Linked DNA regions of Arabidopsis thaliana. The protein of the gene in region 2 binds, or shares a complex with, the protein of the main gene of each other region. Each region holds a gene or a part of one and is shown on either strand. Other genes may lie near its edges. The genes, in order: AT4G02580, EMB1467 and CI51. A codon is read from its position in the direction of its gene.

Evidence for each region.
Region 1: the proteins of EMB1467 (region 2) and AT4G02580 are in contact, whole or in part, in a cryo-EM structure (PDB 8BED), measured with the Arabidopsis thaliana proteins. Residues at the interface, in NP_568550.1 of Arabidopsis thaliana: Val203 (codon at 5,831), Lys205 (codon at 5,837), Val225 (codon at 5,993), Ser229 (codon at 6,005), Gln235 (codon at 6,023), Asp236 (codon at 6,026), Leu237 (codon at 6,029), Gly238 (codon at 6,032), Ile239 (codon at 6,035), Leu240 (codon at 6,038), Gly241 (codon at 6,041), Arg242 (codon at 6,044), Gly245 (codon at 6,053), Glu246 (codon at 6,056), Glu247 (codon at 6,059), Gly249 (codon at 6,065), Thr250 (codon at 6,068), Tyr251 (codon at 6,071), Val252 (codon at 6,074), Glu253 (codon at 6,077); in NP_567244.1 of Arabidopsis thaliana: Asn33 (codon at 2,077), Tyr34 (codon at 2,074), His35 (codon at 1,964), Leu36 (codon at 1,961), Val90 (codon at 1,169), Met93 (codon at 1,160), Ala103 (codon at 996), Ile105 (codon at 990), Arg106 (codon at 987), Tyr108 (codon at 981), Glu109 (codon at 978), Thr112 (codon at 969), Phe113 (codon at 966), Tyr114 (codon at 963), Ser115 (codon at 960), Arg119 (codon at 948).
Region 3: the proteins of EMB1467 (region 2) and CI51 are in contact, whole or in part, in a cryo-EM structure (PDB 7AQR), measured with the Arabidopsis thaliana proteins. Residues at the interface, in NP_568550.1 of Arabidopsis thaliana: Gly115 (codon at 5,462), Asn116 (codon at 5,465), Cys117 (codon at 5,468), Arg118 (codon at 5,471), Leu121 (codon at 5,480), Lys129 (codon at 5,504), Pro130 (codon at 5,507), Ala135 (codon at 5,522), Met136 (codon at 5,525), Pro137 (codon at 5,528), Lys153 (codon at 5,681), Ala154 (codon at 5,684), Glu156 (codon at 5,690), Gly157 (codon at 5,693), Val158 (codon at 5,696), Glu160 (codon at 5,702), Phe161 (codon at 5,705), Leu162 (codon at 5,708), Met164 (codon at 5,714), Asn165 (codon at 5,717), Arg194 (codon at 5,804), Phe195 (codon at 5,807), Glu197 (codon at 5,813), Met198 (codon at 5,816), Arg200 (codon at 5,822), Ile219 (codon at 5,879), Gln220 (codon at 5,882), Ile239 (codon at 6,035), Gly241 (codon at 6,041), Arg242 (codon at 6,044); in NP_196470.1 of Arabidopsis thaliana: Gly225 (codon at 4,109), Ala226 (codon at 4,106), Gln243 (codon at 4,055), Lys245 (codon at 4,049), Leu248 (codon at 4,040), Pro250 (codon at 4,034), His399 (codon at 3,587), Glu400 (codon at 3,584), Ser401 (codon at 3,581), Cys402 (codon at 3,578), Gly403 (codon at 3,575), Gln404 (codon at 3,572), Cys405 (codon at 3,569), Thr406 (codon at 3,566), Pro407 (codon at 3,563), Arg409 (codon at 3,557), Glu410 (codon at 3,554), Gly411 (codon at 3,551), Trp414 (codon at 3,542), Met417 (codon at 3,533), Ile418 (codon at 3,530), Arg421 (codon at 3,521), Met434 (codon at 3,482), Glu437 (codon at 3,473), Val438 (codon at 3,470), Lys440 (codon at 3,464), Gln441 (codon at 3,461), Ile442 (codon at 3,458), Gly444 (codon at 3,452), His445 (codon at 3,449).

The regions. Positions count from the first base shown.
Region 1 is NC_003075.7:1,132,672-1,136,843, reverse strand, and holds the start of AT4G02580 (NADH-ubiquinone oxidoreductase 24 kDa subunit), read right to left. Parts: upstream 2,416-4,172; 5' UTR 2,259-2,415; coding exon 2,190-2,258; intron 2,105-2,189; coding exon 2,072-2,104; intron 1,965-2,071; coding exon 1,899-1,964; intron 1,269-1,898; coding exon 1,152-1,268; intron 1,018-1,151; coding exon 940-1,017; intron 851-939; coding exon 745-850; intron 654-744; coding exon 607-653; intron 495-606; coding exon 417-494; intron 301-416; coding exon 235-300; intron 46-234; coding exon 1-45. Other genes in the region: CUL1 (cullin 1), read right to left, coding at 3,409-3,510, 3,600-3,767, 3,867-4,085, 4,168-4,172. UniProt on the Arabidopsis thaliana protein: Core subunit of the mitochondrial membrane respiratory chain NADH dehydrogenase (Complex I) that is believed to belong to the minimal assembly required for catalysis. Complex I functions in the transfer of electrons from NADH to the respiratory chain.
Region 2 is NC_003076.8:14,892,371-14,902,366, forward strand, and holds EMB1467 (NADH-ubiquinone dehydrogenase), read left to right. Parts: upstream 1-5,039; 5' UTR 5,040-5,119; coding exon 5,120-5,540; intron 5,541-5,645; coding exon 5,646-5,892; intron 5,893-5,988; coding exon 5,989-6,283; intron 6,284-6,362; coding exon 6,363-6,737; intron 6,738-7,082; coding exon 7,083-7,978; coding exon of another isoform or gene 7,979-7,982; exon of another isoform or gene 7,983-8,064; coding exon 8,065-8,077; 3' UTR 8,078-8,277; downstream 8,278-9,996. Other genes in the region: GORK (gated outwardly-rectifying K+ channel), read right to left, coding at 1-112, 570-633, 720-944, 2,326-2,513.
Region 3 is NC_003076.8:2,756,528-2,766,523, forward strand, and holds CI51 (51 kDa subunit of complex I), read right to left. Parts: upstream 5,493-9,996; 5' UTR 5,200-5,492; coding exon 5,197-5,199; intron 4,779-5,196; coding exon 3,321-4,778; 3' UTR 3,303-3,320; intron 3,085-3,302; 3' UTR 2,790-3,084; downstream 1-2,789. Other genes in the region: AT5G08520 (Duplicated homeodomain-like superfamily protein), read right to left, coding at 838-1,214; AT5G08535 (D111/G-patch domain-containing protein), read left to right, coding at 5,928-5,990, 6,183-6,413, 6,662-6,793; AT5G08540 (ribosomal RNA small subunit methyltransferase J), read left to right, coding at 7,387-7,839, 7,923-8,018, 8,125-8,302, 8,379-8,476, 8,620-8,681, 8,751-8,904; ILP1 (GC-rich sequence DNA-binding factor-like protein), read right to left, coding at 9,454-9,646. UniProt on the Arabidopsis thaliana protein: Core subunit of the mitochondrial membrane respiratory chain NADH dehydrogenase (Complex I) that is believed to belong to the minimal assembly required for catalysis. Complex I functions in the transfer of electrons from NADH to the respiratory chain.

The DNA.
Region 1 (4,172 bases), on a different chromosome or scaffold from region 2:
TCCTTCTGGTCCACACTTGATCCTCTTCGGGTTCTGAGTTCCATGCTGAAAAACAAAGATTAACATTATAAGAAGTTGGATTTGGATTTTGGATTTGGATTTTGGCTTAGAGGCTACGTTCTCCAATTTGGAAAGTTAACCGAAACCAGATTGTTTTCCCCCACCGATGTAATGCAATAGTAAGAGAAGAACATCAGGAAAGTATCCAAATGCAATGGGTTGTTAATGTCTTACCGGTGGCTTTTCTCCTTTTCTCAGCTTTTCAACAATTTCTACGACTTTCTCAGGTGTAACATCTTCCTGTGTATTGTAGCATAAGACAGTGTAAGTATGATTTCACTCTTCCGACGTAACCCACATAAACAATAGGATAATGCAGGAGAAAAAGAAAAATTGTTCAACGAGATTTGACATACGAAATAGTTATATGTATATCCTTCTGATCCATTGGAATAGTCAGCCACAGTGATCATGGGTGCATTAACACAACATCCCTGTAACAAAACCAAACACATTAGATCTGCATTGAATCTTTTCATGTGAAAGTACTAATCTTGGTTATTGTTCTGCATGGATTAATGAATTGAGGTGACGCAAAATCCATACCATGCACTCCATCTCTCCAACAGAGAACAAACCATCCTTTGTGACCTCTGCACAAAAAACATTAAGACCAAAGATCGTTATGACTGATCATCACCTCCATATGATTTTGGTTATGAAAGGAAGCACATAGAGCTTTACCACCGCGTTTCACTCCCAAATGGTCTAGCAAAGCTGATTCGATGTCTCGTGAACCACGGATCATGCAAGGTGTTGTGCCACAAACTAGAAGGTGATACTTTCCAACCTGTAAGAGCAAAAGAAAAATGAGCCTGCAATGCGTCTTTCATTGAGTACAGTAGAGACTTGAGTTTAGGGGTAGAAAGTACTTCTTACCTTTGCTCTGTTGAACATTGAGTAAAATGTTGCAACCTCATAAACACGGATAGGGGCAACTTCTATAACTTTAGCAACCTGCAAAAGTTTGTTGCATTGTTATGACGGTAAAATCATATCAATGAATGTTGTATTCCAAAAAAGAACTTAAGAAGTACATAAAATTAAGTCTTAACAGAGAAAATCGAACAAAAAAATCTTAGAAGACATACCGCATTCATTGCTGAAACAGGGAGCCAGCCTCCATTCTGCTGTTGTGCAAGATCTAGGAGAGGAATAACTGCGGACTGCTTGTAATTGGATGGATAGTAAGAGAGAATCTCCTTAACCTACACATTTTGGACATAACAATTCAGTAAGTCTGGATGCATGCGGAAATCGATTTCACCGTTAATGCAAGATTACTGTAGCCAGAAATGAAAGATACAGTAAACTGGAACTAAATGCACAAGAAAGTATTAGGATTTAAACTACAATGAAACCGGTTTACTAATTTCTGGACAGTCTTTCTGCCACACTAGCAGATTCAAATCTGTTGGCCATTTGGGTCGTTCACTCTAAGTCTCTCCCTTAAATCAGTTCCAGAATAGCCGATTCTAAATATGTAACAACAAATAAGCAATCAAAAATATCAGAAAATCCCAGTCTTTGTCTTTTAATATCCTTTGGTAGAATGCTAACTAAGAGAACCATAATTCATAATCAGGAGACAGGGACTAGTTATAACTAGGGTCAAACAAAGGGCTAAAGATTAGGGAACGAGGGCTAAAGATTCCAACATTTTCACGAAAGAGTATAAATTAATTCCACCATTACGAACATGTCACACAATTCCCTAGATATTCTGTAAACATCACAAAAACGAATTCGAATCCGTACTGGATAAAAATCCCCAATGCGTTCACTAAAACTGTAAATTTTCGTCATTATCACATTAAGAAGCGATTTTATTCACTGACCTTAGATTGGTTAGCCTCTGAAAACTCCCATGGAAGATCGGGTTTGTTATCAGGAGAATCCAGATGCTATAAGTAATCAAAACAACAACAACAACAAAAATCAAATTACAATTAATTTCGGATAAAATTAGACAAAATTGAAGCATAGATCAGATAGAATATCCAACACTCACGTAGTTTAAGGCCGTCGATAAGCTACGAGTCACCTGTAGATAGAAATGACCAAAACGGAGAATGAGATCGGGAAACGACCGGAGAGAAGCTGAGAGGAAGCAAGGAATTAGAGAATACCTGAGAGGTTGGTTGACGGAAAACTTGACGGATCTCGAGAAGACGCTTCGCAGCGAGCCTAGCCAGCATTTTCGACAATTTAGAGGACGAGAGACGCACACGAAGGTTTTTTTTGATCTGAGAGAGAAGGAGAAGCAGAGAAACCAAGGAGCTAGACTCGGTATCTCACTATCACCTGGCGCAGGATTGACTATAGCCTCTATGGGCCTGCTAAAATAAGCCTGACTTTAATTCATTATTGGTCTATTACTTTTGGTTTAGGACTGATACATACGAGTAGCTTTAAAGGCCCATTTTATTAATTAAAGGCCCATACATGTAATACTTGAAGCCCGTTGGAATTTGCTGATTCTTATAATTTGCACATCTCCTCGCAGCTTTTTCATCATAGTGCAATGGCATGATTCTTTGTTTGTTTAACAGAATCTCAAGCAAATAAAAAGTGAGAAACATTTGCTCGATGGAGTAAAATGACTCCGCACCTCAAAACATATATGAACAGAATTTCTCCATGTCGTATATATCATTCTCTGTGTAGGCTCCAAATATCGTCTTTGATGATCCGTTCATAATTCATATTAACCCAAAAAAGAAAGAAAAAAGCACATTGGAATCAAGTAATATAATCCACCAGCTCCACCATTAACCCGTTCAAAATTGTTATTAACCTTAACATACCCGTCTTTGTATCCCAATAATATTTCAGATCATCATACAACAGAAAAACGGCTTAAAATATAAGACATTGGTCCTAAGCAGAAACTATTACGGTTCTGGTGGACTATAGCTAATGACGTAGATGATTACAATGATTTTTAATGTTCGGCGATTGAGGAAGGCACCTTCCGTCGGTTCATCTTTGTCTCATTAGCGTTCGATTATAAGAAATCTCATATTATTTGTTACGACTTTCCCATCCGTCAATATAACACAGAGATACATAAAACTTAAATAATATGATCAAGGATAAATATATTAGAAAGCAGAGATTCATTCATTAAGGCCATTTCTCCATCTCCATTCAATATTTAAGAAACAAAAATCCACAAGGCAAATTTGCATCCCAAAAAAAAAGCACAGACCGAATATTTTTTAAAAGAGAAAAATAGCGAAAATGAAGCGATAAATTTGTTTTAGGACAGTCTCCATATGGACTTCTAAATATACAAGCAGATTCCTTTCATGAGCCAACCACTTCCATAGTTGTTGTTTTTTTGCCCTAAGCCAAGTACCTAAACATGTTAGGATTCTCCTTGTCCCTCTCCAAATAATCTCTGGTTATTAAATCCTCCATACGCTTCTTGATCGCTTTGATATCAGGCTGCAACAAACATCACAAATCCAATGAGTTTCATCACCACGTGCATCTTCAAATGTCTCTGTATAAATATAATTATATGTATAATTTACCTTGAACATTCGGCTAAGTTGCTCAACACACTCAGAAACAAGTTGTTGATGTCCCAATACTTTCCTGCTCTTCATGATCCTGACAATGGCAGCATCAATTGCATATCTTCTGTCTTTATCGACATCTTCAACGACTTTCTTCCTTTCATCAACTGGGGGAAGAGGGATCTGTGACGCAAATCACCCAAGTTGATGTTAGTTATTAACAATATGTAAAACATGACATAAACTTGCAGACTTTTGAGTATTACTATTAACGTCACAAACCTTGATTCTGCGCATTCTATCGGTGAATTTGGAGTTGAACTCAAAGGCATCATTCTGGGAGACAGTCTTGGTGTTTGGCTCCTTAAGGAGTATCTTGTACTTAGCACATGACAAGGAATGAAGCAACCTAACTAGATCTTCATGGCTTAGGTTCAGTTGAGCCAAGATCTCAGTGTAACTTAACTTGTCAGTTGTGTTAAAGAGTAGAAGCACAGCAGCCTATAGAGACAGAGAACGTGGCATCAGAGTCCGTTTACAGATAGAAAATATATATCAGTATTTTCTGAGAAACATACAGTACCTGGT
Region 2 (9,996 bases):
GATAGTTGATTCTTGTGTCTTTCTCAAGCCTTTGGAAAAACTCAACCACTTTGCGAACCCGAAATAGCCTTATCCACAACAAGTACCTCACCAACTCATGTTTCCCTGATGCCTACAAAAAGGTTAGGGTAGGAGTATAAACCAAACCAAACCGAATCAGAACCAAAAATGTATTTAAATAACCCAATTGGTTTATTATTTAAACATCGAAATCGAAGTGAAACTGATTTTAGTGTAAACTAACCAAATGAATTGATATTTATGTGAATTTTATTTTAATTATATAAGAAATTATAATATGTGTTATCATATTAGATAAATATAATATTAGTTAAGAAATATTTTTATATGTTTCAAAGTTACTTTTACAAAATTTCCAACCTAACTAAGCTAAAATTGCATCAAGTAGGAACTAAAGTTGCATCACCTAGAAACGAACCAAACAAATTACAAATAGTGTTTATTTGGTTTGAGTTTTTATAAACCAAGAAATATTTATAAGCTATAGTGTTTCTTTGGTTTGACTTTTGTTGAAGATCTAAGCAAATATCAAAAGCAAAGTTAAGTACCTTATAAATAAGATCCCAAGGGAAGCAACCGATGAAATCCATGAGAAAATGCGACTTCAAGTACCTGATGAAAGACATACTTCCTCCATTAAAGGCTATATAAGTAGAAATGGTTAAAATGATTGTAAGAGTCTAATATATATAACTGACCGGAAAGCAATACGTGTTGGTTTGTAGACAGTCCGGTAGGTCTGAGTATCGCGATAGGCAACAAAGAACTGAAGAACAATATCGACCAAGAACGCGATCTGACCAACAATGTCAAGTACAAAGAGTCTCTCAGGCAGACCGCGGAAGAAACCAAACTCCATGGGAGTGAACAATGAGGAGTATATTGCCCACACCAATATAAACATTTCCCATGCCTTGTACCACCTGATCAATTTCTTCTCACTTTTCATTAATTCAGGTCTAATCAAAGATTCTTGAAAATGTAAAGATTGTGGCTTATACTTGATTCGTCAAATTGGTAATGTAGCTAAACGGAATCGTGGGAAGGAGACAAATGAAAATAATACTATAGTTATTAGTTAAGTGCAAGCAACAACGTTTTAAATTTTATTTGTTTAAGATCGACATAGCTGGACTAAGTTGAATATACATTTTCACTAGTATAGTTTTGTTATTTTATAGTTAATGTTATTATGCTTAGAAGAACAGGTGGATGAAATATCCACGTGTGGCCTCTGGTTACGGCAGCTTTAGTGGAACCAATTAATAATCCGATCTTCGATGATTCTGTCACAACGCATAATTACTAATATAACCCTAGTGAAACATTTATGGGAGTGTAACAGTATCCTCTAGTGGATTCAAGTTGTTTAACGTAGTATTTTTTTTTTTATTCCTGGTGCAATTTAACGTAGGATTCTATTTAAAGATAGATTTAAAGTTTTTCCTTGTTTTGGTCGGAATTTGGTTTTAGATTTAAGTTTTAAATTTTCAATAGGTCGGCTGCAAATAAAACAAATGCTTAGATTGAGGTGATCAGTGGACAACGAAAGAGAAGAAATATATCACAAGGAAGTGTCCCACCAATTTCTTTTTTCTTAGTAAATAATAATGAAAAGAATATCGACAACAAAATCACCTGATTAGCATCTAATATCTACTTTTGATAAGTGATGAAGATTATTCATCTAAATCCTAAGGCTATTAATGGATGATACGAATTAAGCGATTAGACCATTTTATTTTTAGAGCGAACAATAAATTCTGTAGACCAAATTCACTTTTACGTAAAAAAGATATATCGTTAGTCCATTGTAGACGGATTCTATTTTTATTATTTTGTATTACTATAAATTATACTTTATGAACGGTAAATAAAAAGCAATCCAAACTGTAAACGGATTTGTCCATTCTAATTATCGTAATTTTTCGAACCTTAAATCATTTAGTTGTTTTAAAAAATCCTTGACATAAATATTAATATTTAAACTAGATTGAAGTGATACTAATATTAGATTAGATTGGTGACACAGCCTTAAAAATGAGCAGAAAGAAATAACGATAAGAGTTTTAGTGATTGATAATTATTAAAATGGTGAATTTTCTATTATTGTATTATTCGAAGTTAAAACTAGGGAGACAAGTTTTTGAAGTGGTATGGTGAATAAAGTTTTTTTCTGAAGTTACAGAAAAAAAAACAGAAGATATTTTGAAGGTTTCAAGAAAAGTATTTTCTACGTATTTATCTCCCGATAGAAAGGAAACTCTTCAAGTGCATGATGAAGAAAGAGAAAAAAGAAAGAACCTGTTTTTGGGATGAATGATGTATTTATAATCATTATGACCATCGGTTTCAATTCTCCGATGCTCTGATGAATCAAGCCACCGAAACGTCTCGGCTAAACTGAGTTTTCCTCTTCTTGATGAAACGTCGTCGTTTGATTCCTCTTCTTCATGATCTATTATCTCTTGCCGTCTCCGGAGACGTCCCATGTTTTCAAGAATCGGTTAAATGAAATCTCCGGCGATCTCTTCGACACAAAGATCTAGAAAAACAGAGTTTAATACCCGATTCAACTCTTGAATCTGACACTCGAAACTTCGTCTTTTTGGTAGAAGATAGATCTTGTAATGTTTTACAAGTTGAAGAGAAAAGGCGGGAAGATCACGAGAGCTGCTTCTCTGTTTTTTTCCAAATTATTTTTTGTTTGGTCTTCTTTAGTTCTTCTTTCTCGTGATGTTAAAGCTATATTGATTTTGTTTCTGTCGAGAAACTACTGTTTTTTTTTTGTTTGGTTTGGACTCTTTATTAGTTGAAGTGTATAACGTAAGGTTTTGTCTAGAAGGACCGAATTTATATAGGACATCAGAACATGTCGATTGTCGAACATATATCATTGTTTTTTTAATATAAAAAATCTCATCTAAATTAAAATTTGGAATTGAATTGTACGAACGGCTAATAAAAATTTACCAAAAGATTACGATGCTCCAAATCTGGATGATGATTCCCTAAACCGGTTTTTGTGAATCATTTCTAGCATAATCGAATTTAAGTTAATCTGGACTAGTGTACTTGAACATTCACGGGGTAAGTGGGGGAGTTATTTTTTTTTAAGACAATAAATCTGTTGTAAATTGATGTACTAGTTATAGACATTAATGGGTGTGTAACAGCATTTCCTATATGTTTAACGTAGGATTTCTGTTTAAAGTAAAATCAAAATTTACATCAGGTTTTGAGATTTTTAGTTTTAAATTTTCCAAATGGTCGGCTTTGTATAAAACCAAGAGAAGAAATTAAATATACACGAATATGAGGACGTGTCCAGAAAAAGAAGAATATCGACAATAAAAATCACCTAATTTGCATCTAAATATTGACTTTCATAGTACGCTAGAGATAATCAGTTCATCTTCACCTTATTCTTTGCATTGTGTAAAAGAGAGATTATGCAGAGTTTCCTAGTTGACGAGAATGAGATAGCAGAGATATTTCTTGTTTTCGTTTTGCACTTTAGAGGTACTACCTTATCGAGTTGTATGAATATGATTGTCTTGCTTCTATTTTTTTTTTTCATTTTTGGCTTTGATTGAATAAAGGTGAGAATTTTTATTTATTTTTCGCAAAGTATTTCCTTAAAATATTAGTATTTCGGTTTAGATTAGAACAAATACGAGACGATAAATAGTTTGATAACAAAAAGCTATATATGTTGTGTTTCATATCTTATCAACTCGGTCACATCCTCTTTCCATTGGATGCAATTCTTTTTCATAGAAGAACCACTAATTCTTTTTTTTCTTTTGCCATTAACCCAACAATTTTTATTGTAGTTAGTGGTTCTCCCTTATGTTTCTTTGCCTTGGAATGTAATCACTCTGTTTTGACAAAAAAAAAAAAAGAAGGAATGTAATCACCCTGTTTGACAAAAAAAAAGAAAGGAATGTAATCACTCTGTTTGACAAAAAAAAACAAGAGAGGAATGTAATCACTCTTAAAGTGATCTATAACAATTTGAAAAAGTGTCATATTTATTAGCTATAACTTATAACTTTATAAGTTTTGAATGGATGCAGTGGACAAAGCGGTATACTTTGTATGCGGTTTAATCTACCTTATTTTGAGGCGGACAATAAACCGCTGTGGACCAAGTTTATTTATATGTAAAAATAGTTCGTGGATGATTCACAGATGATCTGTTGCGGTTTTCTTCTTTTTTTTTTGTCCGGACCACTGTGCACTATAATTGATTAATGGTAAATAAAAAACAGTCTGATCCGTTGATGGTTTTGTCCGCCCGAACCGCCGTAACCATTCAAACCCATAATTAAAATTATAACGAATTACTATGTAAATTTATAACTAAAACTATCAAATTAAACGAGTTAAATTATACTTATCATGTCTGCCTGTAATGATAAGATAATATATATCAAAGCTTATGAAACTTCATTTTTTTTTTTTTTTGGTTGTCATTGCAAAGGTTAGATTAATAACAATATCACTGATAATGATGCTTACACGTAAACCTAAACAAACGAGGAAAATAAACTAACTCTTACACGTAAACCTTAACCGATGCAGCATAGGTGTTGACAATATTTTCTTTCCTTTTATTTAAATAGACGACGTTGAGATGTTTAAAATTGTCATCATTTATAACCATATTTTAAGTTGTCTTTATCTGAAATATACAAATGTTCAATTAGTACATTGACCTAAAAGTCTCTAGGACTAATGATTGATTAGAGGTTTATTTTGCTAGAGGTTCTAATATGTTGTATGGAACTAGAAGCAAGATTGTTTTAAACTCAATGTCATTAAGTGAATTAGAGAAAGATCATCAAAACTCTTAAACTATATCTCCCAAAATTAACTTAATTCAGTTTGAAAAGAAAAAGCCCACAAAGCCCAAAACTCACTCATTCATAAGCCAATTATAATATCCAAAATAAAAGCCCATAAAGCCCAAAACTCACTCATTCGTGTCTCCTTCTCTCTCGCACAAATGCTTCAGGAGTTCTCACAACAAGATCGAGAAATACACACATAGAAGACGAAGAAGAAGAAGAAGACGATACAGATCCACAACGCCATGGGTTTAGGCATCTTAGCTTCTCGAACAATTCGACCAGCTTCACGTCTTCTTCAATCTCAAACCTCCAATTTCTTCCTCCGCACAATCGTCTCAAAACCAGAGCTCCAATCTCCTGAATCCGCTGCTGTCTCTGAGCCTGAGCCGCCGACACAGATTCTCCCTCCTAGAAACCCTGTAGGTGGAGCACGCGTCCACTTCTCGAATCCTGAAGATGCGATCGAGGTCTTTGTCGATGGTTACGCGGTCAAAGTCCCTAAAGGATTCACTGTTCTTCAGGCTTGTGAGGTCGCTGGAGTTGATATCCCGAGGTTTTGTTATCATTCTCGTTTATCTATTGCTGGAAATTGCAGGATGTGTCTTGTTGAGGTTGAGAAATCTCCTAAGCCTGTAGCTTCATGTGCCATGCCTGCGCTTCCTGGTTAGTTCGATTCCAGGAAAATTTCTATGCTGATGGATTGATTTTGATCGTTGATTGGTGGAATATATTTGGATTTGGTGCTATTGCTAAGAGTTTTTGTAACAGGGATGAAGATTAAGACTGATACACCGATAGCTAAGAAGGCGAGGGAGGGAGTGATGGAGTTTTTGTTGATGAATCACCCTTTGGATTGTCCTATTTGTGACCAAGGAGGAGAGTGTGATCTTCAGGATCAGTCTATGGCTTTTGGATCTGATAGAGGACGTTTTACTGAGATGAAAAGATCTGTTGTTGATAAGAATCTTGGTCCTCTTGTGAAGACTGTTATGACTCGGTGTATCCAGTGTACAAGGTTACTAATATAGTTTGCTTATAGTGTGATGTTTTAGTTAATGTGATAGATACGCTATCCTGTTGATTAGGTTTTGTATGTATAATGTTTTTGTAGGTGTGTACGATTTGCTTCTGAAGTTGCTGGGGTTCAGGATCTTGGTATACTAGGTCGTGGTAGTGGAGAGGAAATTGGAACTTATGTTGAAAAGCTTATGACCAGTGAACTCTCTGGAAATGTTATTGATATCTGTCCTGTTGGAGCCTTGACCTCAAAGCCTTTTGCCTTTAAAGCCAGAAACTGGGAGTTGAAAGCAACAGAAACTATTGATGTTAGTGATGCTGTTGGGTCCAACATCCGTGTTGATAGTAGAGGACCAGAAGTAATGCGTATCATTCCACGCCTGAATGAGGTATGTAATGCTTTTGTTCAAAAACACTATTTTTAAAAGTATTTTGCTGGATGTTGAACTTGTGAATGTTCTTATTCAGGATATAAACGAAGAATGGATATCTGACAAAACCCGATTCTGTTATGACGGCCTGAAAAGACAAAGGCTGAGCGACCCTATGATCCGAGATTCCGATGGACGATTCAAGGCAGTGAGCTGGCGTGATGCCTTGGCTGTTGTGGGTGATATCATTCATCAGGTGAAGCCAGATGAGATTGTTGGAGTAGCAGGTCAGCTATCTGATGCGGAATCCATGATGGTACTGAAGGACTTCGTTAACAGAATGGGCTCAGACAATGTATGGTGTGAAGGAACAGCTGCTGGTGTTGATGCTGATCTTAGATACAGTTATCTGATGAACACTAGCATCAGTGGACTTGAAAACGCCGATCTCTTCCTTCTCATCGGTACCCAGGTGAGATTTCCACCCTGTCTTTTTTGTATGGTTTCTGGTACCGGATTAGACAGACCGCTCTGTATTTGGAACAATGACATAAGAAAAACCAAATTGTGTAGTTTGATACTTTGATTTAGTGGTGTGGCTTAAGGTTCTGTGCATAATTTGGAATACAGAGGCAAATAGAAAGGAGAAACAAGCAAAATTAAGTTTCTAAAAAACAGATCAGATGTTAACATTTCGCTTGTATTGAATATTCCTGATCCAGACCAATCTAGATCAAGCAAAACTTGCTCTTCCAGATATCAAAGTTGTGAAGGTTTTTTAGCAGTACATTCACCAGTTTTTGTCTATTTTTACCAGCCTAGGGTGGAAGCTGCAATGGTGAATGCTAGGATCTGCAAGACAGTCCGTGCATCAAATGCCAAGGTTGGATATGTTGGTCCACCTGCAGAGTTCAATTACGACTGCAAACACCTCGGGACTGGGCCTGATACTCTCAAGGAAATTGCTGAGGGACGGCATCCATTCTGTACGGCTCTCAAGAACGCCAAAAACCCTGCAATCATTGTTGGTGCTGGGCTCTTCAACAGAACTGATAAAAATGCTATCCTCTCTTCTGTGGAGTCCATTGCACAAGCCAACAATGTTGTCCGACCAGACTGGAACGGTCTCAACTTTCTCCTTCAGTATGCTGCCCAAGCGGCTGCTCTTGATCTTGGTCTCATTCAACAGTCCGCCAAAGCCCTCGAGTCTGCAAAATTCGTCTACTTGATGGGAGCAGACGATGTAAATGTTGACAAGATTCCTAAAGACGCCTTTGTGGTTTACCAAGGACACCATGGAGACAAAGCGGTTTACCGTGCAAACGTAATTCTCCCTGCATCGGCCTTCACTGAGAAAGAAGGAACCTATGAAAATACTGAAGGATTTACCCAACAGACTGTTCCAGCTGTTCCAACAGTTGGTGATGCAAGAGATGACTGGAAGATTGTGAGAGCCTTATCCGAGGTCTCGGGTGTGAAGCTTCCATACAACTCAATCGAAGGTGTTAGATCAAGAATAAAGAGCGTTGCACCAAATCTAGTCCACACAGATGAGCGAGAGCCAGCTGCTTTTGGGCCTTCATTGAAGCCTGAGTGCAAGGAGGCAATGAGCACAACACCGTTCCAAACCGTGGTTGAGAACTTTTACATGACAAACTCGATCACAAGAGCATCAAAGATCATGGCGCAGTGCAGTGCCGTGCTCTTGAAAAAGTGAGAGCTTTAACTTGGGTTTTCACATTTTCTCTCTTTTCGCAAAAATAAAGATACTGATTCTTCGTTTGCTGTCCTCTTTATAGACCTTTTGTTTAAGCCTGAGTATCACTGTATCTCGGGTTTAGCTTGCGGTGAAATCTATAAGCAATTTGCAATAAGCACATTGTTAGATTCAAAACTTTGCAGTGTTAATTGGATGCTTTGTGGCATCTTGTATTGTTCTTATTAGGACTCCCTTTTACATTTGCATATATGAATTTGGAGGCATGGCGATATATACAATCTCTACTTTTATCGTTTGTTCTTAACCATTGTGATTGTTACAAATAATGCAAATCTTGAAAGGATTAGATGGTTTCCAATGTGAGATGATCACTTGTGAACTAAACTGTTTTTGACAAGTTATGTTACCTAAAATCATTTCAGTTTCAACTTTGTGATTGGTCATAAAGAAAATTTCAGATAGATTATGAAAGACAATCACAAGTAACATATAAATTTATTTTAGAAAAACTTACCTAAACCAATCAATTTTTTTTTATAGCTGGGATAATTAATCCATCCAACTTTTTTTATCTTTCTCAAACAACCAACTTTTTATTATCAAATTGCTTTCTTACTGATTAGGTCTTATATCTAAAAGTATAATATAAGCAAAAAAATTATTTAATTTAATTAATTTTAAATAACCTGTTTTTTTTTTTTTTTGAACTTCAACACATTGTTTATTGGTTAAAATCCATGCTAAATGGATAAGATTTTTTTGATACATGTCCAAATCTTGTTGACCAATAACACATGTAAAAAACATTTTGTTAGTTTTTTTTGGGTAAGAATAATTAGTATATGTAAATATTCTTTTAATTAGTTTTTATTTTCTGTAAAAGAAAACAAAAAAATAAAACAGTTGTTGATATCTAATCGAGAAAGTTACCCGTGTCGCAATCATGTGAGTTACTAATTTTGAAAACCAAAGTTTATATAATAAAATAATTATACCAAGTTAAGTTCATAAGTTAGTAATCTAGATTTACACATTTTTATACAGATACACAATACATGTAATAACAATAATCATGTACCATAACACTTAATAAAAAAATGAGTTAATTATATAGTTCAAATTTTATGAAAAAGAAATCATGTGTATCTAGAAAATATTAATGTTATTTATATTTCTCTTTATCTCATTTATTTTGATATTATTATATAAATCTCTCTTTACTCTTTGATTGCCACTCCAACCTTATTTCTTAGAGAATATGAAATTAAGTTTTCCAGGAAAGTTGTTCTTCTTGTTAGGTTATATCCTATGTTTCAGCGATATATCGAGTTTCAATAATCATTTTGTGGATGCAGAAACATTGCAAAATTTCACCTCATTTGAAATGGAAGAACAACTTAAAGTCATCGACGAACATGCAGCTAAAATCATCAAAGTCCGTTTAATTTCATCTTATTTTCTTAGAGCTGCACTCGTTACCTTGATTTATACATATATATATATATATATATATATCTGAATTTTGTAGAGATATGTGAAGTTTACAAAATATTTTATAATCTACTTTTTGTTTATGGATGATAGACTACACATGGAGATACATATGAATGTGTGGATTTTTACAAACAACCAGCGTTTGACGATCAGACCATGAAAAATCACTTGCTCAACTACAAAGTATATAATAAATTGAATATAAGTGAATCTGATCATTATTTATCACTAATACAAAATTCTTTGTAAATGTAGATGCATCAGATATCATCCCGTAAAAATTCAAGAACAAGAAAAATAAATGACAAAAAATTTGGTTTCTTGTGGGAAAATGGTGTAGGGTGTCCCATTGGTACCATACCCATACAAAGAGTCACCAAAGACAAACTTTTGAGATTAAATTCGTATTCCAACAAATCTAAGCCCCAAGGTTCTTGGAACTTCACTTATAATCAATATAATGTCGAACATCATGTAAGTAGTACCCTTCCTTATGTTTTATAAGATGTTTTAACTA
Region 3 (9,996 bases), about 12 Mb from region 2:
TACTGTTACATCAGTTTCCCATATCTTTGGCAAGTGAGAAAACAGTCCAGTAACTAATTATATGCCACTAATATAACCATTATATACTTAACTCTAGTTTTTACGCCTTATCTACCCTAATAAGGTCCCAAAACCACTTGCATCTTCAAGAGAGAAAAATGAAGACTAAACTTCAAAGTAAGATTTTTTTGTCTCTTTCTAAAAGGAAGGTGGGGTTCCTCCAATAACAGAGGTTGGATGGACTGTTTCACCATGTAAAACAGCATCTAGCTTCAACAAGTGGTGGAAAAAGATGGTCAAAATGGTCCCGGGGGTTAGATAGCATCTCTCCATCATCTCTAACATGGTGGATGTAATGATATAGCAACTAGGACAGGGAGGTAAAGCGAATTTATGAGAACAGCTTTCTCTGTCCCATGCCAAGTTATAATTCCAATAACATCTGAGACTTTTAAAACAATCACGAAACTAAAACCACTTCAAGAAATCTCTACTTTTCTTTCAAGCATCCTCTAGAGTAACCTCGGGTCAGTGCCCCCTAAAAAAAACTCAATTCATCCTTTTTTAATTTAAAGTATCAGATAGGAGACCAAGGACCTAAAAGTTCCAGTGAAGGTATTGCTTCTAACTACAGTATGACTTTGAAAACTCTTGATGTCTTAAAGGTTCACAGAATTAGACACCCAAGAGTACCAAAATTGTCACTTAAGAGAAATAATATTAATGTTCTAGAACACAATGAAGACATGGAGCACAGAACAAACATAATTTGGAAAGAATCATAAAAGAATAAGAAGAATCAGAAACTGATTAGCAGCAAAAATAAACAAAGTTCACCTGTGCTCATCTTCTGTCCACGCGATACCCTTTCGTCGTTCTTGATCGGACTTTGATTTACCTGCTTGGTTAGACTCTCCCGCATGACTGTTACCTCCTTTCTTACTACTTGCTCCTTCATCACCAGCATGGCCATTCGATCCTTCAGGAGACCCATAGGCAGGAAGAGGCACACATCCTGATTCAATCCTAGTAACATCTTCAACTAAAAGCTCGTAATGTTCTTTAATCTGTTCAACACTTTTGCCTGGAACGTCTGCAGCAATCTTCTCCCACCGTTCCTCTGATTCATCGGTATTATTGGCTAGAGCTCTCTCAAAGGCAATATCATCCTCCCTACTCCACACAGAACCATCACTAACTTCCTCCACCGTCATAATTCCAATCAAACCCGCCTCAAATTCTATAGAATCTACCCTAATCCCTCTAAAAGTCTGGGATATCAACCAGATTTCTACAAATTTCGTGTCTTTTAGATCTCCACAAACTTAACAGAATCCCAAAGAACTCAGATCTTCCAAGTATCAGTGAACCTAGCTAAAAACTACCCCTTGATATTCCAATCAAAACCCAACCATACAACTAAACTAGGGATATAAAGAGAATCTTGGGGACTCGAATAGAGATTCTCACCTCCAACAAAATGAAATTCCCTAAAAATAAGCGGAAAAAACCCTACTCTCTCTACTGATGAACTAAGACGCAAAGATTAATTCAACTTATCGTTATGAGATAGAAAGGAAAGCAAGAAGAAATTTATCTGATAGGCAAAGCAAAACGGAGATTGAAACGAGGGAATCAGAGAATTGGCAGAAGAAGAAGAAGGAAAAATGTGAACTTTATGAGAAATGGAAAATTGGGGGTTTATTGGGTTTTCAAGGGATTGCAGCAACTTGAAGGAGAGAGAGAGAAAGAGGAATAGGAAAAACCCAGAAGACTGAGAGAGAGAGAGAGAGAGATAGGGAGGGGTCAAAACGCCATTGTTAAAGGAAGGGGAAGTTCAAAACAAAGAAACAGTGAATAAAAACCATAAGCAACAGTTTTCACAGCTCAAGTCCGCTGTTGTTATTTTTGGTATTGTTGACTCTTTTATTATTTGTTACACTTCCAATTCATATTGGAATTTCCTTGTTGACCAAATTATGCCATATGTATTTTATTACTGCTACTCCTCATCGTTGGTAATTTCATATCAGTTTTTTCTTTTTTCACTTTCATAATGCTTTCGCATGTGACTAGATTTTTCTTTTGGTGACATTTGGGGAGGCAATCATTGATGAATAATAATTATTTGTACGGTGATTATAAAAGGCAATGAAATACTATATCAAACTATTTGTAAACATTGTTCAAACTTAAGCTCATATCGAAAATCGAAAACAACAAAGATGCTAATTGCCTATATGACGACTTTCCGAGTTATGCAAATATGTGATTATGTAATTTCATCATACAACAACTTGTTGATTCAGTAGTTCTATCGATTAAGTAAAGAAATTGGAAAAGGGGGGAAAAAGGTGGGAGAGGTGGACAAAGAAGTTAGGGAAGATGTTGACGTCTTATCCATAAATATCCTCCAAAAATAATATCCAATCAGACCGGTCCCCATCACCCTCACAGGTCTTCCTTGCCTTCATTTATCTCTTTTCCTTTTTCTCTCTTTCTCCATTTCAATGCGAATATATATATCACTTCCATTTCATTTTATTCTTTAAGTTATTCCATTTAGAAATTTCTAGTTTATAGTTTTAAGATGATTTCTACTTTGTTTGATTTTACGAAATCAAGTTGGGACTAATCACATTTTGGTTATACATTATCCAAAAAAACTAATTTTGGACTATCATATCAAGTTGTATACAGAACAATGATATACCAATTTATATCCTAGAGATATTTTTCAGAAAATGCCAAAAAGAAACATTGATTTATAATTTATTTGCTATGTGAACTACTTATAAACCCAAAAAGGAGCATTCTTTATTTCAAACATGAAAAGGGTTTCTTTGGTTGTTCCCAAAATGTGCTTTCATACTCGAATAAACATAACAAGCAAACAATAAAGAAAGTAGAGTAATGCAAAAGAGCAAATCGCGCTCTTTCTGATACAACTTTAAGAGAGTTTTAACATTAACCATTCAAACAAATTACATTACCTTCTTCTCCTTCTGAAGTAGCTTTGCATCCCAAAACCGTTACTAGTTGTTCATTCAGATTTTATTTCCATGGAGAATAATAGCAAACTCCCTGCAAAAACATCAATTTTGTAAGACAGGGATAGAGCAGAAAGATAGTTACGGAAACTAACTGTTCATTACGGCTCAAGTTCTTGAAATGCCCAAAGAAATTAGATACAGAGCAGTCTACCTTGTCACAAATACATTCTAAAAGGCTGCGTAAACTCTAGACCTCAGCTTTTAAGTTTGCAACAGAAGATTAAAAGAGCAAGGACTGGAGATGCAAACCTCTGGTTAACAAGGTACTTAAGCAGCAGCCTGTAGCAACTCCCTTTCAGCGCGTTCCCTGATCCTTCTCTCGAGCTCTGGCCTAAAGTGTCTTATCAGACCTTGCACAGGCCATGCAGCTGCATCACCCAATGCACAGATTGTGTGTCCTTCGATCTGTTTGGTTACCTCCTGCAGCATATCAATCTCTTCCAGCTTTGCATTGCCAACTTTCATTCTCTCCATGATCATCCAAAGCCAACCTGTTCCCTCTCTGCAAGGAGTGCACTGCCCACAGCTTTCATGCTTGTAGAAGTAAGAGAGCCTTGCAATTGCATCCACAACATCGGTTGATTTATCCATCACAATGACTGCTGCAGTTCCTAACCCTGATTGGACAGCCTTGAGCGCATCGAAATCCATCAGCACATCCTCGCAAATGTTCTTAGGGATCAGAGGAACAGATGAACCACCAGGGATGATAGCAAGTAGATTGTCCCATCCACCCCTAACACCTCCACAATGCCTCTCAATCAGTTCCTTGAGAGGTATACTCATCTCCTCTTCCACCGTGCATGGCTTGTTTACATGGCCTGATATACAAAAGAGCTTTGTCCCAGCGTTATTCTTCCTACCGAAACTAGAAAACCACTCAGGTCCACGCCTTAAAATGGTAGGCGAAACAGCCACTGTTTCCACATTGGTAACAGTTGTGGGACAACCATATAAACCAGCATTAGCAGGGAACGGAGGCTTCAACCTAGGTTTTCCTTGCTTCCCTTCAAGGCTTTCAAGAAGCGCAGTCTCTTCACCACAAATGTACGCACCAGCACCAAAGTGGATATAAACTTCAAAATCATAACCAGAACCACATGCATTCTTCCCCAAGAGACCAGCTGCATACGCTTCTCTTCTAGCCTTCTCTAGATTCAAACGCTCATTCACATATTCACCCCTGATGTAAATATACGCAGCACTAGCTCTCATTCCAACACCAGCAATCAAACACCCTTCCAACAATTTGTGAGGGTCATGACGCATGATCTCCCTATCTTTACAAGTTCCAGGCTCACTCTCATCAGCATTGACAACCAAATAGGAGGGACGGCCATCAGAAACTTTAGGCATAAAGGACCACTTAAGACCAGAAGGGAAACCAGCACCACCACGTCCACGAAGTCCAGATTTCTTCATTTCATTGACAATCCAATCAGTACCCTTGAGCACCAAATCTTTGGTCCTATGCCAATCACCTCTCTTCATCGCGCCTTTGAGAAATGGGTCATGCAGACCATAGAGATTAGTAAAAATCCGATCTTCATCCTTGAGACCACCGAAATGAGTCTTTTCCGGAGGCGGAGGAGGTGGAGGAGGCTGTGGAGTGGTGGAAGTGGATGCAGCTTGAGTGCTGAATGATCTCAAAGCTGGAGTCAGTCTGTTACTTTCCTTCCAAATGGACACTGCCCTTTGCAAGCCAAGAATCCCCCTCACGGGTGCCTATCATCAAATCCATATAACAAAGACGGTAAATGGCAAATTAACTCAAAGTAACACATGATCTACTTTAAAAGCATACAAAAAATTGAAGCACGAAATCAGTAAAATTGATGATACAGGAGTTAAGTGTCGCGTATAAAATCGCTGTTTCAACATTAGGAAACCAAACAAAACCAACAAAAGCAGGTGAATAAACCCAATCGCTCTAAATCGATAAGCTCGACCAGATCAATCATAACCCGCTAGATCTATGTATAAGAAGATGCCGCATTTTGAAATTGTTCAGCTGAATTCAAGATAAATACACTCAAAGTCTTAATTTTGAAAACCCTAACAAATGCGATCGAGAAGAAAATCGTATAACCTAGAAATGAAAACGGAGATCATCAAAGTGAGTGCGCGAAAAGAGATTGCTTACCATGGAGACGAAAATTTCCGAGAAGTAGTCTTTCAGAGAGATACTGGTCTTTGTTCCTGAAGCGTGAAGGCCACAAGAATGGGAGCTTGAACAGACACGGAGACGAAGTTATAATCACTGCCCACCTGAGACCGACGAACTCGAGATAAGCTGTTTGGTTTAGATTACTCCGCGTCTTCTTGACGTTAAGCTTCTCTCTATTTTATGGGCCTCTCTTGGTCCAGGCCCAAATATTCTGGTCCGGTATGAAACTATCCTAAACTTCGATAAACGTAAAATATGTGGGTCGAATATGAAATAATTATAAAGTATTGGGAACAATTAGCATTTAGAAACATAAGAGGCGTCTTTTTATAATTTTCTCAGTTCCCGTAAGACGATCCAACTGCTACAGGCCGGCGATTAGCAAAGGCGGTGGTTCGATAGAGAGAGGAAGAGATTGAAGCGATTTTCACTCAGTTTTCATCAGATCGTCTCGGTGATTCTAGGGTTCATTGGTCTCGTTTTGTTCGGTGACTGCTTGAGTTTCACGTTTTTGGTGAGTTCCGTCTATCTATTATTATCTTAATATTTTGATGATTCAGGCTCATGGTTTGTGAAATTTGCTCTAATTTATTCCAGGAAATAATCAACATAAGCGAATTCTTGTGTTTGGCTTTAATTGAACCCTGAATTTAGATGATAACAATATTTCTGATGGTTGGTTCATTGTATTTAGGTTTCGATTTCTTATGGGAGATTCCTCGGTTTCGACAAGTTCATGGGCTGTCATTGAATCTGCTAATAGGTTTCAGGTATAACTCATTTCTGGATGCATCTCTTCTATTTTGTGCTGCATTTAACCTATTAACATTTTGTTTACTGTTCAGTGGTAGGAAACTTTTGGGTCTGTTTCTAGTTGTGAATTGAATAGACTACAAGAAGTAAGCAGAACTGAATGTGCATTCCTTTTGTTTTTATTGACAATTGTGAGTTAACATGTTCAGGTGTCGAGCGTTATGGGTGAGTCCTCTGGATCAAGCAGTTCATTGGCTGCTATAAATTCGTCCAACATTGGGTTTCAGCTCCTAAAGAAGCATGGCTGGAAGGAAGGCACTGGTCTTGGAATCGCTGAACAGGGTATATTGGTGCCTCTACAAGCAGAGCCAAAACATAACAAACGAGGAGTGGGAGCTAAACAACCAGCTAAGAGAAAAGTGGCTCAGCCTCAGGCTAAGGTCTTGTTTCTTAAAACCCTTACATGCGATAGCCTTTAAATCTGAAAATAGCTAATGATGAAGAAGTGTTCAGGCATTGATAAAGAGTCTCATCTGATTTTATTTTTTGAAAGTCTGCATCAGCGACACTTCATATCTCAATAGTGCTGGACTTGATTTTTGGCTTATCACGTTGCCATTAGCTTTTATGTTTCATTTGTTTTCAAGTTAGGCATCGAAACTTATCTTTTCTTTACTAAAATTTTCAGGATGAAGAAGTCTCAAAGCAGAGTAAGAAACTTTCGAAGAAAATGCGGAAGATGATGGAGCACGAAAAACATTTACAGGAAAAAGAATTTGAACGAGCCTTCTTTAGGGAGTTCTGGCCCGATAATGTATAACTAGGTTTTATTCTTTTACTTCTTATTGACCTGAATGTTCCAAAAGCTTCTGTATTTACTGCAAATTTAGAATAACTCTGTTCTATTGCCTTATCAATGAAGAAAAATAGTTATAGAATCATGCGCTCAACCTTATACCTTTAGAAAATGGGAAAAGAAAATGAAGTTAATGCAGACACTTCAAGTAAAGGTTTTTGTTAGCAAGTTTCTAAAGTGTATGTTCATGTGCCTTGCATTGGTACCCATGCATTTAGCATGACCAAATCACTTTATATTGTGAACTAAATTTGGGATAATAATCCGATTTAACATGGGAGTAACAAAAAATTCTAGCTTGTGTGGGTAATTAATCCATTTGTTATTATGTCTGCTGTCTGCTGAATTCACTTTTTCTTCTTGTTAAAAACCATTTGATGATCGTTTATAGTTAAAATAAATGGGCCGAGTAAAAAAGGCCCATTAATGACCCCTTCAAATAAATAGAAATTGTTATATCTTCTTCCTTCACCTTCCGTCGTAGTTCCCCGACAAGCTAACTACTGTTGAGCCCCGCCGCATCCGAAGCCGACTTTTCAAATCGTCGAGCTTCAACAATGACGTCTCTTCTCCTTCCTTCATCTCAATTTCTCCAGACTCGAACCCAAAACAATGGCCAACCATTCCTTCTCCCTCTAACACCACTGTTCGCACCACTACCTTCTCTCCGTCAGTTGAGACCGAAACACATCTCTATTTCCGCCGCAGCGCCGAAGAAAAAATCGGAGACTGTCACGGCGCCGACACCGGCAGCGAAGAAGAATTCGAGCGTGGAGGAGGAAACAGAAGAGGAAGTAGAGGAAGATATGCCGTGGATTCAAGAGAAGGCGTTAGACCTAGTCGAGTTCACTGGATCGGTGAGTCAGGCGATTCCTGGTCCTCGAGTTGGAAGTAGCAAATTGCCGTGGATGCTCGCCGTTCCGTTAGCTTACGCCGGCGTCACTTTCGTCACTGCTTTCGTCAAAACCGTTCAGAAGTTCTCTTCTCCTAAAGCTCAGCGCAAGAAACTGGTCTCTGATTCCACTCTCTCTTTTGTGATCCTTACTTAAAAAAAAAAAAACTAATTCAATTTTGGTTTTTTGAATCTCTTCAGGTGAATCAGAATGCTATGCTTTGCAGATCTATAGATGAGCTATTAAGGAAAGCTGGAACAGTGCATAGCTCTGAGCTTAAGGCACTTGAACAAAAGGTGAGAATATATATAACATGTCACTAATCTTTTGGTTTGATCTCTTAATCATTTCCAGTTCAGAATTTGACATGAGGATGCTGAATTTTGTTTTTCTACAATCCAGACAGAGTTTAACATGGAGGAGATATTGCGGAAATACATTCGTTATGCGTTGAATGAGAAACCGTTTAATCCCGACCTTGTTGCTGATCTCATTCATCTAAGAAAAGCTTCTGGTTTGAATGATTCTCAGATTCCTGAGATTTTAAATGAGATCTCTCGTCGTATTGTCAAGGAAAAAGGTAACCAAAACTTTGTTAAGGTTCTCTATTGTGGCAGTCTCTTCTTTATTGCTCTTGACATATTTGATTTTGGCAGGTCCGGTAGTGATGAAAATGCAAGGCTTTACCGAAAAAGGATTCAAGAGAAAACTCGCCGTGCAAGCGCTTTTTGGAAAGATTTACTATCTTTCTGAGGTAATCAATGTGGAAACATTACTTGTACTTGAGAGAATCTGCTTACTCTTTCAACATTTTCGTTGATCTAATCCTGAAGTCAAATATGCATACAATGTTTTCGATGTGTGATAGATTTTCTAACTCCATTCTCTCTTCAACAGCTTCCTGACTTCTGCTCAAAAGACAACTCCTTAATCGTCAAGGAAATATTCGGCGTTACAGAGTATGTTAACTTTATTCTTATGCTTTTACAATGTTCCTTTTACTTGACCATCTCTACAAAACATTTCAGTGAAGACGCAGAGAAGCTGCGGATACACGCTCTTGCTGAAGCTGGAGACATAGAGGCACTTGAGAAAATGGTGGAATTTGAGAAAACTGCGGAGTCTTCTTCGGATAAAGAAGAAGATTCAAATGAAGAAGATGACTCTAACACCACTTCCTAAGATGTTTGTTCAACGACCAACTTTCAACAGTAGATTCTTTCCAAAGGGGGTTTTCTTCTTCTGTTCTTTGACTTATACCCCAAGTTGTGTTGTTTACAGCAGAAGACGTCTGATTCCAACAGAAATTGTCTTTTGCAAAAAACCATGACACAGCTCGTAATACAAATTAACTGCATCTATAGTGCAGCACAGCAATACAAGTTGGGGCTTATATTCATAGAAATAATATTGTCTTTGCTAAATCTAAACTCATACAGATATAAAGGGAAAAATAAAAGACTCGAGATACTTTAGCTTATATTTATTATAAGGTTTTCTACAACCACAAGAGGTTACACTTACATTAAGCCAAAGTACTAAAACTCTTCTGTGTCTGAAAATGGATTCCGGAAGGTTTTGGTGCTAGCCTAATAATCCTAGGGAAAATCTTGTAATCCTCGATGTTGAAATCGATGAGCCTTTGCTGGTACAGCCCGAAAGGTGAGCCTGATAACCTGAGGCTAAAGATTTCTGTGTTGACTTTCCAGTTTCCCATCAATAAACTTTTGGTCAAACTGCCTCCTTAAGATTGAATGTTCTGACAATTTCCCTGGCGTGGTCATGTTCATGGAGCTCGACTAGTATTCTCTTTAATCTGCGGGCGAGACCAGTGGTTTCCGCATCGTCCAGTCCTGAGCCAAGCCTTTTCTCGAGAATTCTTCTAAGTGTCAGAGTACAATCCACAAGAGGTTGCAGCGGACGACTGCAAAGTCAAATAAAATATTTTAGTATGTATCAAGGCAAAGGTTCAACATAACGTCCAAATATGAGATGCAGATATCATGTGAACCAAATGAAGATAAACAATGAAATTGATTGGTCTAAGACGAATGAGATTCCCAAAAAAAAAACATAAAGACCATAGCCTGACCAATACTCCTAATCTTGAAAGAATTGCCCAGATTTTGCAAGATAAAATTATGTAATTTAAACATCTTAGTCCCGATTCGACAGCTTTACTTTACTTGCTTTCGTGCACTTGGAAAATAAGCTTTTAACTTTTCATGCAGATGGACTGTAAATTGTAAAGGTAAACAATATGCAACATCACAA